3 linked regions of the Caenorhabditis elegans genome follow. The protein of the gene in region 1 purifies or fractionates together with the protein of each later gene. This does not show direct contact. Each region holds a gene or a part of one and is shown on either strand. Other genes may lie near its edges.

The links. Proteins that work in one complex are often made in the same cells at the same time.
Region 2: the proteins of srw-16 (region 1) and smcr-8 fractionate together in Caenorhabditis elegans (co-fractionation; one large-scale study listed by BioGRID). This does not show direct contact.
Region 3: the proteins of srw-16 (region 1) and F56D5.9 fractionate together in Caenorhabditis elegans (co-fractionation; one large-scale study listed by BioGRID). This does not show direct contact.

Annotation. Positions count from the first base shown.
Region 1 is NC_003283.11:15,272,879-15,276,800, forward strand, and holds srw-16 (G-protein coupled receptors family 1 profile domain-containing protein), read right to left. Parts: upstream 1,980-3,922; coding exon 1,390-1,979; intron 1,177-1,389; coding exon 820-1,176; intron 774-819; coding exon 623-773; intron 577-622; coding exon 505-576; downstream 1-504. Other genes in the region: srw-17 (G-protein coupled receptors family 1 profile domain-containing protein), read right to left, coding at 2,654-2,719, 2,771-2,921, 3,032-3,385, 3,433-3,922.
Region 2 is NC_003281.10:4,997,450-5,001,911, reverse strand, and holds smcr-8 (Guanine nucleotide exchange protein smcr-8), read right to left. Parts: upstream 2,538-4,462; 5' UTR 2,530-2,537; coding exon 2,370-2,529; intron 2,325-2,369; coding exon 2,010-2,324; intron 1,962-2,009; coding exon 1,815-1,961; intron 1,773-1,814; coding exon 1,660-1,772; intron 1,614-1,659; coding exon 1,222-1,613; intron 1,175-1,221; coding exon 1,088-1,174; intron 1,050-1,087; coding exon 987-1,049; intron 878-986; coding exon 619-877; 3' UTR 544-618; downstream 1-543. Other genes in the region: R144.10 (Coiled-coil domain-containing protein 25), read left to right, coding at 28-75, 127-441; tmem-131 (Transmembrane protein 131 homolog), read left to right, coding at 3,779-3,874, 3,919-4,208, 4,380-4,462.
Region 3 is NC_003282.8:9,417,889-9,424,279, forward strand, and holds F56D5.9 (BRCT domain-containing protein), read right to left. Parts: upstream 4,621-6,391; 5' UTR 4,619-4,620; coding exon 4,513-4,618; intron 4,462-4,512; coding exon 4,247-4,461; intron 4,131-4,246; coding exon 2,106-4,130; intron 2,062-2,105; coding exon 1,947-2,061; intron 1,900-1,946; coding exon 1,757-1,899; intron 1,534-1,756; coding exon 1,395-1,533; intron 1,345-1,394; coding exon 1,244-1,344; intron 1,196-1,243; coding exon 737-1,195; intron 640-736; coding exon 544-639; downstream 1-543. Other genes in the region: srxa-2 (G_PROTEIN_RECEP_F1_2 domain-containing protein), read left to right, coding at 5,507-5,642, 5,715-5,890, 5,938-6,276, 6,327-6,391.

The sequences.
Region 1 (3,922 bases):
TTCTGAGCTATAAAACGAAACATTTATTAATTTTTCAGCAAAGAAGGAGAGTGGGTGTGAAACAAGAATAAACAAATATCATGGCCAAATCTGTTGTTGCTTAGCAGCCAAGTTCCAAAGACCATCAACAATTTTATTGTGAGACAAAAAAACAGATGGAGTGTTATCCGAATTTTGCAAAAAAATTGATTCAAAAACCAAATACCTTATACCCGGGGCATAGGCAGAACTTCCTGAACTGGCTAAAAGGGTTTTGGGCGTTCAGATTTTCTATAGCAACATTTCATTGGAAATCCGCGTCAACAAATTTGTAAGTTGAACTTTCGAATTTCTCGCCATTTTTCTGAAATACTGAAGGCCAAGTTTTTTCAAGCCACAAAATCAAGAAATTCAGAGCTAGTTTATTTCATTCATCTAGATTCGAGGTAAGAAAAATGGTATAATAAAACTAATAGGTAAGTATCTTAAAGTTTATATTTCAAAATAGAACTCTAGCAAAAACGTTTAAATATTTTTCATCCTTGTCCTTTTTGAACTCTGCGAGCTAACAGACGCAGTCGAAATAACCAATATATTCTGAATAAAAATTGTTGAAAAATATGGTATTCTGTTTGAGACCCACTTGTCCTCTATCTTGCTTTTTCGTGATACATAACATTTTCTTCACAGTTTCTCTATACTGTGAGGACATTGCAAAACATACGAAAGCATGAGAAATTCCATTCATTGTACGAAGATTCCAGAAAACATATTGTGAAAGTCCAAGTAGTGATCTGGAAATAAATTAGGCTACCGATATAAATTTTCAACAAAACTAACACAATATCAGTCATCGACTCTTCGTAAATTAGTTTAGACAAGATGAAGTTTTCAAGAATATATGATCCAATGACAGGAAGACCCTCGGAAGTCATGAAAAATATAGTCATCATGAGAATCATCTTGTTTGTTTTATACGATTGGTCATTCAACGCGTTTTTATTCATATTCTGTCTTTTTTTCTTGATTGTTCTCAATTGCAAAAGTAGAGTGATAGTTAGAGTTGGGTATAAAATAACTGAAGCGAACCGAAAGATGAGATCTATTTTATTAAACTTATCCATATTTCTGTCTTTTGCTCTAGAAACTACCAATACGTAGTAGGTGTGATTGAGGTGTTCTTTGTAATTATAGCAACTGAAAAGAAAAATGCTACTTTTGATAAATTTATCAATTAAATAAATAAACAAAAAAATTTTACTACAATCTCATATACCTCCTAAAAAAGAAAAGGACAAGGACTAAACAAGGAGGTATGAGTTGCCCACTTCTTGGAAAGGACCGACCGTTGTTATATCATTAAATTATGGCTGGAACTATTTTCAAACAAAACAAATCAATCCAACTCACGACTTAATCAAAATATCCGGATACCATCGAAATTCCATCTCGAAGTACGGTGACGAATAATAAAGTATCCAAAATGTAAACATAATTAATACTATTAAAATTGCAGTCTTAGCTTTTGCAAGCTTCTGGATCCAATTGCTCATCGGAAAAAATACTGACAGTGTTCTTATTAACGCCATCATCATCGCTAGCCAAACCGCCGTGGGCCGTGCCATTTGCACGAATATGTTGAGAATATTAACGGAGGTGACTTGCACAAAGTCACCTCGTAAGCAATTAGTATTCTTATAAAAAGGAATTGATTCAAACCACATTCTTTCAAAGCCGACATTGTAAAAATCAAGTGAGTAACCAAGGATATCAGCCACAGAAATTCCAATCATCAATATATAAATTGCACCAGATCGCAGCTCTTTTTGAAGCAAAACAATTAAATGTAAAATGTTGATGAGTACAGTAAAGAACTGCAGGCAAATGTTAATATCAGAAAGTACCATGCTTATTTTCTTATATATATCAGCACAGTGAAAATTGTCATAAAGGTTTGTAAATTCACAATCTTCAGAATAAAATTCTTCATCATAGTACATTGTATTCAAATCGAAGCAAAAAAGGTAGTCAAAGTTAAAGGACTGACTTCAAGATATGGAAATTTGAAAAAAAATGTTATGCAAAAGTGTAACTCGGGATATGACCATTAAAAGCTCAATGCTTAATAACATGCTGTCTAGGATTAATTGTTGGCGTGAATTCCAAATTGCTTTCTTGTCCTTGAACTTTTATTTGGAGTTGAGTAATCACGTATTTATTGGCAACGTGAAAAAGTGGGTAACATTCAAAGCAATTTCAGTTTTCCCGATGCTATTAGGTAGTTTTTCCTGCGCCAAGAAGTTTCTAGTACTAATAATGTCAGTTGCTTTGAGGCATCCTAGCATTTTTTTGCGACGGTAAAGTGTCAATGGGCAAGGGTTTTAAAAAAATTCCACATGACGGCTACTTTTTTAAAAGCATAATCACAAATTACTCGTAATTCGAAATACCCATTCTTGTGAGATTCGAAATAGCTTTTTGAACCAGTCTAGGTTCCGATAACTCTAATGAATTTTTTACGATACAAAACAGACTACTGTAAATCGGTCGAACTGACAAAATAATTTCAAAAATGCCAAGTATACCGAGTATAAACGTGTTATTTCTGTAAGAAATTTGAAACAATTAAAAAACTAAGAAATACATAGTATTATATAGCAAAAATTAAAATCGTTCATGTCCTTGATCTACTGGAATTGTGTGAGCTGCTAACCGACACTGTTGAGATGACCAGTATATTCTGAAATAAAAGAAGTTTTTTTCTAAATCGAAATATTTATCTTTAATCTACCTGTCCTCGTCGCTGCTTTTTCGAGGAACAGAGCATTCTCTTCACTGTGTCCCTATACTGCGAGGACATTGCAAAACATATGAATGCATGAGATATTCCATTTAATGTGCGGAGATTTGTATAAAAATATTGAGCCACTCCAAGCGCTGATCTGAAAAAGTTTCAGCTACGACGCATGACGTCATTTTCAGCAAAAAATTTCCAGCAATCCCATGCGGACTGTTTTGCAGATAATTACACAAGAATATATATAAAACTTACATTACGTCGACCATTGAATCTTGATAGTTAGGGGTAGCTAGAATTTTTTGAAGGATATAATCTCCGATACCTTCCAAGCCCTCCGATATCATAAAGAATAAAGTCATAAAAAGAATGAGCTTTGTTGTATTATCTGATCGATCATTCAACAAGTTCTTATTCATACTTTCTCGTTTTTTCTTTATAATTCTCAGTTGAACTAGTAATGTGATTGTTAAGATTGGATATAAGATGGCTGGAATAAAGCGAATGAAAGGTTCCAGTTTTTCACGCTTAAAGACTAGGCTGAAGCTAGCTTTTGGAACTACCAGAACGTAGTGGGTCAAGTTGCGATGTTCTTCGTAATCAGTGCAACTGAAATGAATGAACTTTCAGATGTGCAAGTTCGAAAGCCAACTCACGCCTTACTCAAGACATCTGGGTACCAGCGTAATGTCATAGTAAAATATTGGGATGAATACCACAGTATCCAGAATGTGAACACTACTACACTCATGAAAATTGCAGTTTTTGCTTTCGCAAGCTTCTGAATCCAAATGCTCATGGGAAAAAATACAGACAAAGTTCTGATCAACGCCATCATCATTGCCAGCCAAACCGCAACTGGTCGTGCCATTTGCACAAATATACTGACAAAATCTACAAAACTAACTCGAACCAAATCATAACGTAAGCAATAAACGTTGGTGTAAAACGGAATTGTGCTAATCCACGTTCTTTCGTAGGCAACGTTGAAAAAATCAAGTAAATAACCGATAATATCTGCCAAACAAATTCCGATCATCAAAATATAAATTGCACCGGTTCGTAGCTCTTTTTGAAATAGAACTATCAAATGTAAAATGTTAATGAAAACTGTGAAGAATTGCATAAAAACATTTGTGTCCGACA
Region 2 (4,462 bases), on another chromosome or scaffold:
TTTCGAGTGTTATTTTTTATTTTACAGCTTGTTCTTTCGAACATGTACGTGAAATGCAATAATTCAGAATATATGGTGAGATTTCTTATTAACAAAAGCGTTCGTTAATCAAAATTACATTTCCAGGTGTGCAAAGTGAGAATCCCGGACATTGATAAACCAGAAATCATCTGTCACTGGCCAACTGAACCAAAGGCTCATTATAAAAAGTCAAAACGATCAATGACAGAGCCAGACGAAGAAGATGACCGAGTTTTAGAACAACATGAAAAAGAAATCGCTCATCTCGTGGCGGAAAACACTAATTTGCGTCAAGAGCTCGCCATTCTGAAGCAGTCTTTTGAAGAGTTCAAGAAGGCGGCTGAATTGGCTAGAAATCGTGACAAGGCAGACTTTTGGGCTGAAATCAACCAAATGAAACAGGATATCATCAAAAGATGAAAGTTCTCCGAATGCATTGTCGTAAATCAATGCTCTGTCGTCCTTATTTTTAAAATTTTCCTTCTTCTAATTACTGTTCATATCATCTATAATTATGTTTTGTTTCAATGACAGCTTGTATTGTATCAGACTGAATTTGATTTTTTTTATTGTTTCATAAATATTCAAATTTTTAAATCACAAATTGATGGTTCTACTCGGCTTTGCCCCGTCTTTGGATGATACTTTGAGTTGGTTGAATTTTTCGAAGTCGATTCCCATCAGCAAGTTGATCAATATTCTTTCGTCGTCTGAGCTCAGTTTCTGCTGATCTCCCAATGCTTTTTCGATAGAGTTCGGAGATTTGATGAACATATATCGACAGATGAATGCAAGCTGACAAATATTTGTCAAATAGGCAATTATAAAAAGGACCAGGGAACGATCAGATGGGAACCTGAAAGGCGTTTATTGTTAGGAGAGTGTATATCTTAACTGAACTTATCCCCTTATTTGCACTTAATTGTTTGACAAGATAAGGAAATAAGTCCATAAATGTTACTCACTTTCTTTTCTTATTGAGACCAGCTAGCAATGATCCATCGTAGGTAAACGTCTTGAGAGCACTTCTGAAACCGATATTTTTTTTTTTTTGAATTTTTATTACCTATTCATATCAAGAACATTTCTCCATCTTGCCAATTTTCCGGTCTCATTTCTATTACATAGCAGACCGCCCAATCCATTGCCTATTCTGAAAAATTACCAAATTTTAGAATTGAATGTTTTCTGATTATTTACCTATTTGGATCCTTTTCGATTTTGATATTTTCTTCTACATTCCGAGCACTTTCTCTTGGAACAACTCTGCTCAATTTCCCGAGCATATCTTCTACAGTACTCTTTCTCTGTTCTGCTCCACAAACTACCAAATCTTCTCCACAAAGCAATGGAAATATGACATCTCCCAGGTGTCCAGTTACTTCTTTTAGAGTTTCTTCTCCGTTTTTATCATTATCAGATTTTCCTGAATCAGTGTTCCAAGGCAAAGTTGTAGTGGCGGCTGGTGATGTAGTTGCGATGGGACGGTGTCCACAGAAAAGAGCTCCATGAGTAGAATTTCTATTAGGGCTTCCTGATGAACATAGTTCGGAGCATAGTTGGCGTAGTTTTGGAATTATGGATGAATACGCCTGTATAATTTAATTTTTATAGGCAACAAAGGTTTTAAAATCTTACACATGGAGTGAGAGTTTCCACAGGACTCAATGGAATTGATGGAACTCGGAATGAGCAAATAATATCTTCAGCTTCGTTCATGTTTTCTGCATTGTGACCACAGCAAATGTCATCTGAAATATAATTCTAAATCAAAGTCTCAACGTTTTGTTCACCATCAAAAGCCATTTCTTGAAATCTTTTCGTCAAAAATTTGCTTTTTAGAAGCCTGGTTTGCTCGAAAACTACATTGAATCTGCTTCCGTCTGACAACTTTTGTGAATCTCCATTCAGTGTATAGTACTGTTTCAGGGTGGTTTCATCTGAAAATGGTAACAATTTGTTTAAAAAATCGAAGAAAAAAAACTTACCAACACTGTCCGAAAACTTGACAATATCAGTGACATGGCGAATAAACAGACGTCGATTGCAAATCAAAACTGGTGAAACTAATTTTTTCATAGCTGATGAGAATAGGTTCAAAGTTTCTTTTGTTGGCTTCTCCGAACATAAATAGGCGATGCATAAATTTCTTTGAAAAGCTCTTGCTCTCATGTCGTACAAATTAAAATAATATGCGGCCGCATATACACCCGTTTGATTGTTTTCCAACACAATCATTGTACCCGGAACAGTATCAGACGACATCAACCAGATTGCCATATCGTTTATGTCAACTCCGCGGACTGAAAATTAGCATTTATTCGAGAAAATTGTGTATAAATATTTACTTTTATCATCTGGCCGCTGAGAAACTACCGCTAGTGGTTTTGGTCCGATAACTTGGCAAAATTCGACAAGAGTCAGAAATGGATCAATTTTTGCGACGAATCTGTTGAATGGATCGACGACTTTGGATGGTCGGAGGAGAAAATCCTCGAATGAAATCATTTCTGAAATTAATACAATTTTAATTTCATAATAAAAAGACGAATTCAGCAGAAAACGGCTTAAAAAACAAAAGTGAAAATGTTTGCAAATTATGGAAGAGTTTCCTTCATTAAAACTTTTCAAGCATGCGCCTTTAAAGCTACAGTAACCAAAACCCTCTATAAAACTACTCATTAATCAATTTAAAAGTCAATTTACGTTCAAGTTAAATTAAATCAATATTTTCCAAGCGAAATTGTTTGCAAAAGAACAATGAAGTAACTTCCAGCAGTGTAAACATCGGAAAACCAGTCACTGCAGTCAGGAGATATTGTTCTGGTGGCCGTGGCCGAGGATTCTCCACACGGCTGAAATAACTGTAATTTGTTTCTGTAGTTTTTCTGGTTTTTAATCGTCAGTTTTGAACGTTTTCGCGCAGAAATTTGCATATTCGGAATTATTTAAGACATATTTTTGATATTTATAGTATACTCTGTCAAATATTCTATTTTTCGCGTGTTTGTTAACAACAATAGCCGAAGAAAATCATTTTCTGATTACAAAAAAAATGTGTCCATAATTTCCACAATTGTTCTGCTAAATAAAGACTGTTTTCTGATTTTCTAAATTCTATGTAAATCCAAGCGCTCAATATTTTAATGCTTCATTAATATTCATACCCGAGGTAATAAAACTAGCCTGCGGTTGACAGCTATAGACTTTTTTCCTGACTGCCTTGACCTAGATGACAGATGGTTATCACTTTGTCTTTGTTTTATTCACTTGATTCCACTCATTTTTCACCGAAAAAAGCCCTTTTTCTTTTTTCTCTCTTCACTTTTCCAAACCAGATTTCTTCGTTCTTCTTTCTCTTATAATGGTGTGATGACGTGTTCAACATCTCTATTTTCCCTCAAAAATCGATCGATCCTATTTGTTCTGCGTCTCACGACGACTGTATCTTCTTCTTCCCAAGATGCCGAATACTGGGTCTCTCCAAATCAAACACTATCTCTTCTCCCAGTTATCCTTCCCAATTGAAGTCGACGTCGCCTTTGCCGTTGTCTCTCACTTTTTTATTTCCCTGGAGAAATCTCTTAGTGCCGTTCAATTCCACGTATCATCCATGTTGCATAAGCAAATAAGCAAAAAATAAGCAATAAAAACTGATTTCCGTTTTATTGTGCTTTTTAATTATCTTACTCAGAAAACCTATAGAAAAAAATTTATTCGTTTTTTCAGAGAAACTCTCAATTTACCAAATGCTCAAATGGTTCCATCAATACACAAAACTTCAAACAGATATCGGACGATATATTTCTTCCTAATTTCTCTTTTAATCACTTCAACTTTTGCAGATCAGCAGGTATGGTTTAGCCTCAGAAATTCACATTAAAAAATCAATTTCAGGCATGGCCTCTTCCAGAAGAAGTGTCCGCATCCCAGCTTCACGAGATTCCAGTTCTTCATACCGCATTTGTTCAAATCGGTGAAGAGCTTCACTATCTCAATCATCCTATTCGACCCGAAAATGTGCATCAATTGCCAGTTTATGATTCAATTAAAGGAGTTTGTGAAGGAAATTGTCCGAAAGAAGCCAACAAGAACCATGCGACGAAAACATTCAACGTGTTGAAATTGTCTGGAAAAGGGAAACTTCCAATGGAGATGGATCCACCAATGATGGATTTTGGGCAAAAGTGAATAATTTTTAATTATACTCAAAAGATCGAACTTCATAACGAGACTTTGAAAAAATGCAATTTTTGGAATGTCTCGTTATGAAATTCGACATTTTGGGGCCATTTTAAGTATGATAACAAAAATTTTGATTAATTTAAAAAACCTTCCAAGTATGCATTTTTTTTCAGTTCTGTCGGTACCGCGCAGAAACGCAAAATCTACATTCGAAATATGAGAAATGAACAGATATTCCTCGATGCAGTTGTTGTCA
Region 3 (6,391 bases), on another chromosome or scaffold:
CTGTTTGAAAAAGAAATCAAACTTCCGAAATGATTATAAATATCGTGTGGAAAGAGTGAAATACAAGGGAGTCGTGTATGAAACAGTTTTGAAATGGGCCGAATGGATTCACAAACAAAAAATTCCTTTCTTGTTTGGAGTACATTTCCATGTGGCAATCGAGAAGATGTCTGAAAATGAGAAGATGCATTTGAAACAGTTGGTTGAAATGCACGGAGCCACATGGATGGATCAGATGCCAAACAAAGCGAATTTCAATGCAGGATCCCACCCATTCCACCATTTCCATCTCGGACCACTTTTCATTATCCACGAAAAGAAGGTATGTTGCGTAATATTTAACTTGACAAATAATTAATTCCCAGTGCATTTGCTTTCTAAATTCGATAAGAATTCGATTTTTAAGTTATTTTTTCCAGAATAACATGGAAACATATAAAAACGACAAGATGTACACTCTGATGACGTATGATCAATTCATTATTTTCATGTTGAAGTTGGAATGCTTCTATGATCCAGAGCGAAAGGTTCCTATTCCAGTGACTACCGTTTTGGATGAGGAATAATTGAACTACCATTTGAAATAAATTTCGGCTTTTGGTACATCACCGTCACGTTTTTATATGTTTCCATGTTATTCTGGAAAAAATAACTTAAAAATCGAATTCTTATCGAATTTAGAAAGCAAATGCACTGGGAATTAATTATTTGTCAAGTTAAATATTACGCAACATACCTTCTTTTCGTGGATAATGAAAAGTGGTCCGAGATGGAAATGGTGGAATGGGTGGGATCCTGCATTGAAATTCGCTTTGTTTGGCATCTGATCCATCCATGTGGCTCCGTGCATTTCAACCAACTGTTTCAAATGCATCTTCTCATTTTCAGACATCTTCTCGATTGCCACATGGAAATGTACTCCAAACAAGAAAGGAATTTTTTGTTTGTGAATCCATTCGGCCCATTTCAAAACTGTTTCATACACGACTCCCTTGTATTTCACTCTTTCCACACGATATTTATAATCATTTCGGAAGTTTGATTTCTTTTTCAAACAGTCATTCATCCACTGCTGTTTCATGATTAATGTTGGCAAGAAAATGCACATTATGTAACCAAAATCATCTGATTCAAAAAGACCAGTAGCATCAGTTAATACAATGAAATGAGTTACACCCGACATTTGATCAGTCACCTTTAAATTTTGGGTTTAACTGATAACTCAAAACGAACATAAACTCACATTTCCTTTGTACCTTTCAATGAATGATTCGTAAGTAATACCAGTCAATTGAGCATCAATACGAATACGATACGACATAGTTGGAAGTAGCTCTGGGAGTTCTGAAATAAATACTCCCAAATTACATTAATTGAAGGATGGATAAACTCACTCTGTCTAAACACTTTTCCTCTGTGCTTCTCAAAAATCTTCTCAATATCCGTCAGATTTCCCATTTCTGTCAGTTTACTCTTTGTTACTCCTTCACTTCCACTGGTAGGACTAGTCAATGTTAGAAATTTGGTTGTTGTCTGGAAATGTAACATTTAACGTATTTCAAAATAATACTGACCCCCTTGCTCCACTTTGACAATTTAAATTTCAGTTCTCTTTGGCTTAATGAAAAACTATCAAATGGCAAATTTTTGCTTCAATGTTACACATTTTTGATGAAACCAACGACAACCGATATATGAGCCGTCAAAGTAGAGCAATGCAAGAAACTACAGCTTAAATATATAAAATCTAGCTTACCTGCACACTTTCAGCCAATACTTGTTCTGGTGTCTTATTCTCAACATTAAAAGCTCCTCTATCAGCACCATTCCGAATGAGAAAATCAGCAATCTTAACGTGTCCATATTTCGCAGCAGCATGAAGAAGAGTATTTCCAAACACTGGAATTACATCAAATTAAATAAAAATTGATTGATTATCTTCTTACTGTTGTACACATTAATGAACACTCCCTTATCTACCAATACCTTCACTTGATCGAAATTAATTTCTCTAACAGCTTCACATAATGCATTTTTATCAGCTTCTTGATCAATCCAGAACTGAAATTAATTTTATTTGAACTGAAAATTGAATAATAACTCACTGAATATCTCCAGTGCAAATTTGTAACTGCTTCTGATGCAAATCGATTCAAATAAAATCGTTTCAACTTCCTTCTTCCATTTGGAGTTATTGAATACAAGATAATCAAGAGAATGATGAAAAGAACAAGTGATCCAAATATGATGAGAACAATGAAGTACCATGGAATTGAATTTTGTATCCAAATTGTTTCATGCCTGCCCATTTCAAAAAGCTCATCAAGAAATTTGTTAAGAAATGTGACACTCTCTGAAGCAGCTTTGAGTTCTTTGTGGTAATAAGTGAAATCCAAACGAAGAGCTTTAATTCCTTCCATTTGTTCGATTATCTTCTGACTTCCTTTTAAATGTTTCACGTTTTCTTTGAATTCATCGAAATTTTTGAAAACTCCAACCAATCCATGAAAAGTCGCAGCTTCGTCAAATACAATCGCAACACTTGAAATGTCATTATTCACGCGATTTCCCATCAAATAATTCAAATTGCTCATTTTTTCAATAGTCTCGTTTAATTTCTTTTTGCCTTGAGACTCCCATACTTTCCAGAAGTTGCCATTGAAATGAGAAGTTGAACTTAACATACTTCGTAGGAGATTCATCTCTTTCTGGTTAATATGCAGTTCCTCTATTGCTTCTTTTCCAATAAGTAAAGGTTTATTGATTTCTTCGGATTGATTGAACCTATTCAAATACTTGATCTCATCACTTAACTTCTTCAATGTATTGTCTCTAGCAGAGTTCAGCGCCTTCAGAATTTTAGAAAGGTCATCCATATAAGATCCAACCATTTTTGATGCAGATTCTGTTTCAGGAGATTTGAATGATTCAAAATTAAGAAGGTTAAACAGATTATTGTTTATTTTTCCTAATTTAAAGTTTCCAGTTCTCAAACATTTTCCAATGGTAAAAGCTTTTGTCACATTAACTTCTAATAAAACATCATTCAAATAATCAAGAGACGGAGCGTTGATGATACTCTTAACAAATTCACTTCCATCGTAATCACTTATCAATTGCGTGACATTTTCGGACATTCTCTTGATAGACTTGGTATCATTTGGACTTATTTTGTTATATAAATTGGATTGTATTTGACGCCAATTTCCAGAATCGGACTTCATGATTTCCTTAACTTTTACTCGTATATTCTTCAGTTCATCCAAGGTTTTATCTTTCTGCTTTATTATTTTTCGTACTCTTCGAATGTATTTATGTAGTTCAGTGGCAAGATTATCCATATGAATGAATATATTTTTAAATTTTTCATAATCAAAAGATTTCGTGAATGTGGGCAAATTAACAACGCAAGTCTCCACAACGTCTATGATAGTACTCGATATTTCGAAATCGTTCCACTTTTCCAGATCACTGATTTTTACTGACATCAATAAAGCTGCTCTTAAGCTATCCGGATGTTTTAAAACTATCTTCTTCACTTTTTTCATTGTTTTCAAATGATTTCTGATAGGTTCGAGTCCATCATAAAGGGTCTTTGTGTTCTCATCCCCAAGTACATGTTTCAGCCACTTGGAATTGAATACTCTCAACATTCCAGCAACTTCTTTAATTTTTGATTCATAGAGGTTAACTTTTTCGCCAAATAATGTCCTCTTCATACCATCACCAACACCTTTGCTGTTCTTTTTCAAAGCCTTCCTAACTTTGACAAGATTTTGACTGATTGTTCTCAATAACGAAGCAGAAGATTTTACAAATTCACCATTTACGGTAAATTCTTGAACAGCGTCAATAATGTCATCTAATATACTTATATCAGAGTGCCTTTCGTTAAACTTTTTGACGACATTTTTGTATTCGAGACTTTTGCTGAGCTGATCCATGTCTTTTTTGAATAATTCTTCAATCTTTCCGTCGGAGAAAAGAGCAAAGCAAAATGATAATTTTGTTCTATCAATGTCATTCGATAGACAATATTCGATATCATCAAAATATTTAAATTCGGGTGGTTTTAGATCAGGTGGATTTGGCATCTTACTTTTCAACTTTTCAAATCTCCGAATATACGACTGAACTTTTTTTTCGGGGAAAATTTTTTTCGGTGAAAATATGATTCCAACGAAGATAGCATAACTAAGTGGTTCACTACTGTCTTCAATTCTGTAACGTTCGACGGGACTGTTACCTTTCGAATTTCATTGTAAAACTTTGTGAATGCTGCCATCGTTTCATTCGGTTGAAGAGCAAGAAATGCTTGTAGATCAAGTGGCGTTGCTTTGAAAAATGTAGAAGTTTCCAGATCGAAATCATGGAAAAGACGTGCTTGACTTGATATTGCTTTCGTTAGATTAATCAAGGTGGAAACATCATTCATGAAGTTTTCGAGATTTGGCGATTTTACTAAAATGTTTAATTGATAAAAGTGAAATGAAAATAGAAAATTCAACTCACTATCACTTTCAAATGTGGTTTCTTCGGTGGATGTTGAGAACGCTAACAGTCGATTGAAACAAAAAATTAAGGTAATTGCAAAGAGTATACTAATAGCTTTATTCATCTGAAATCAAATGAAACATGCATGATTTTATGAACAAACTTTGCTCACCTTGCATTACCGGAGAAATCACTTCACTAGAAAATCGAAAATAATCAATGAAATGTTTTGTTTATCACTAGGACTAAAATAAGAGCAACAAGCGATTTTTTTCCAAAAAATTCTTCTTGTTCGCAACTGTCTTCACGTAATGTCCAATTTTTTCGATTTTTTTCATTTTATTGTCAAAGAGTAGGCTTAACTTTTTATTTGTATTCTGATTGTGAGCTGAGTTTTCATTTTCCTACTTTACTTTTTTTTGAGTTGTTTACCTGCAAAATTTGTATGATTTTGAGAAAAAGTCCAATTTTCAGAATGACACTTTTCTCGGAGAATCTAAAATTTACAGTGCACATTGTGATGCCAATGATGTGAGGCTCCTGATTTACACATCGAAAACTTATCCCGAATGCGAAAAAGTGAAAGAGATTGCTGACATATTTTTTATCAAAAATCTAGAACGAATATTTCAATCTTTGTCCGTAAGATCAGTTTTTTACTCTGCTTCTTAAAATAAAGTATACTGCTTGTTGATATTCCCACGTAAGAATGTGTCACTATTTTACATTTTCTCCAAGATTCTCAGGAAAATGTGCGCGGAAAAACAAAGTTCTACTTTTTCTCGTCAGTGTTGAGTTCTAAAGCAAATTTGTCATGCACTCGAGCAGAAGCATTTGCTCGACTGATCACCTCACAGTTTGAATATTTTGATTTGTGATATTATTTCTATTTTTCAAACCCCGCAAAATGATATATTGGATAGTTAATCTAGCTCAGCTGGTATTTTCAATTCTCAATTTATTATTTTTAATATTTGACTTCTTTCTGCTATTTTCAGTTTTAAAACTGAAAATGTCTTCCCAATCTGGACCCTTTATCTATATTATTTTTATGACAATTTTTGGAATTTCGGAAAAATTGATAGACTTTCTAATGGTAGACGCCTGGCCTATTTCTGAATGGATCGAGCCTAATGGTGGATATCAGAGTGAGTTGGCAAGATGCTTGATCTGAATTCTGAAACAGTTTTGAAATCATAAGCTCCACAGTCAATTTTCAGAGTATCGTCATGCTGTTGGAACAGAAGTATCTCTGCTATTCACCATTTGTTATTTAGCTCCATTATTTTTGGATTGGATAATGACTTTCCATAGGATGTCTATTTTCATATCACCGATTAAATCATCAAAATGGTTCAGCGACACGAAGGTTGTTGTGTATTGCACTGGGGTTACGGTAGGCTACAGTATTTTGAAACCTATAATACCCTGAAAGAGTTGCAGATTCTCATTACCATTTGGCTTCTGATTCCATATTTTTCAAATTGCTCATTAAACTTCAATGCTTTGACCAGTTACCACGAATCAGCATGTGCTCCGTCTCGTCATCCAATCACTTTATTTCAAAATAACTTTCTTATTTATGTTCCAATTGTGTCAATGGTAGTCAATTCTGGAATTCTAATTTATCAAAAATATCTGAGAAATCGCTGGAAGAGCACTGCCTCGTCAATATCTTTGTCACACGTAAAACGAGAAAATGAAATGATTCGTCAAGCATGTTTTATTGGAGTTTATTTGAGTGTTTATGAGATTTTATACTTACACATGAGGCTTTATCCGGTAAGAATATCAAACAAGATAATTTGTGAAAATAATATAATTATTTTCAGCAACATTTTGAAAATCTTCCCTTCGAGCTTCAAACAATATCCTATGATCTACGTTTGCTGGCAAT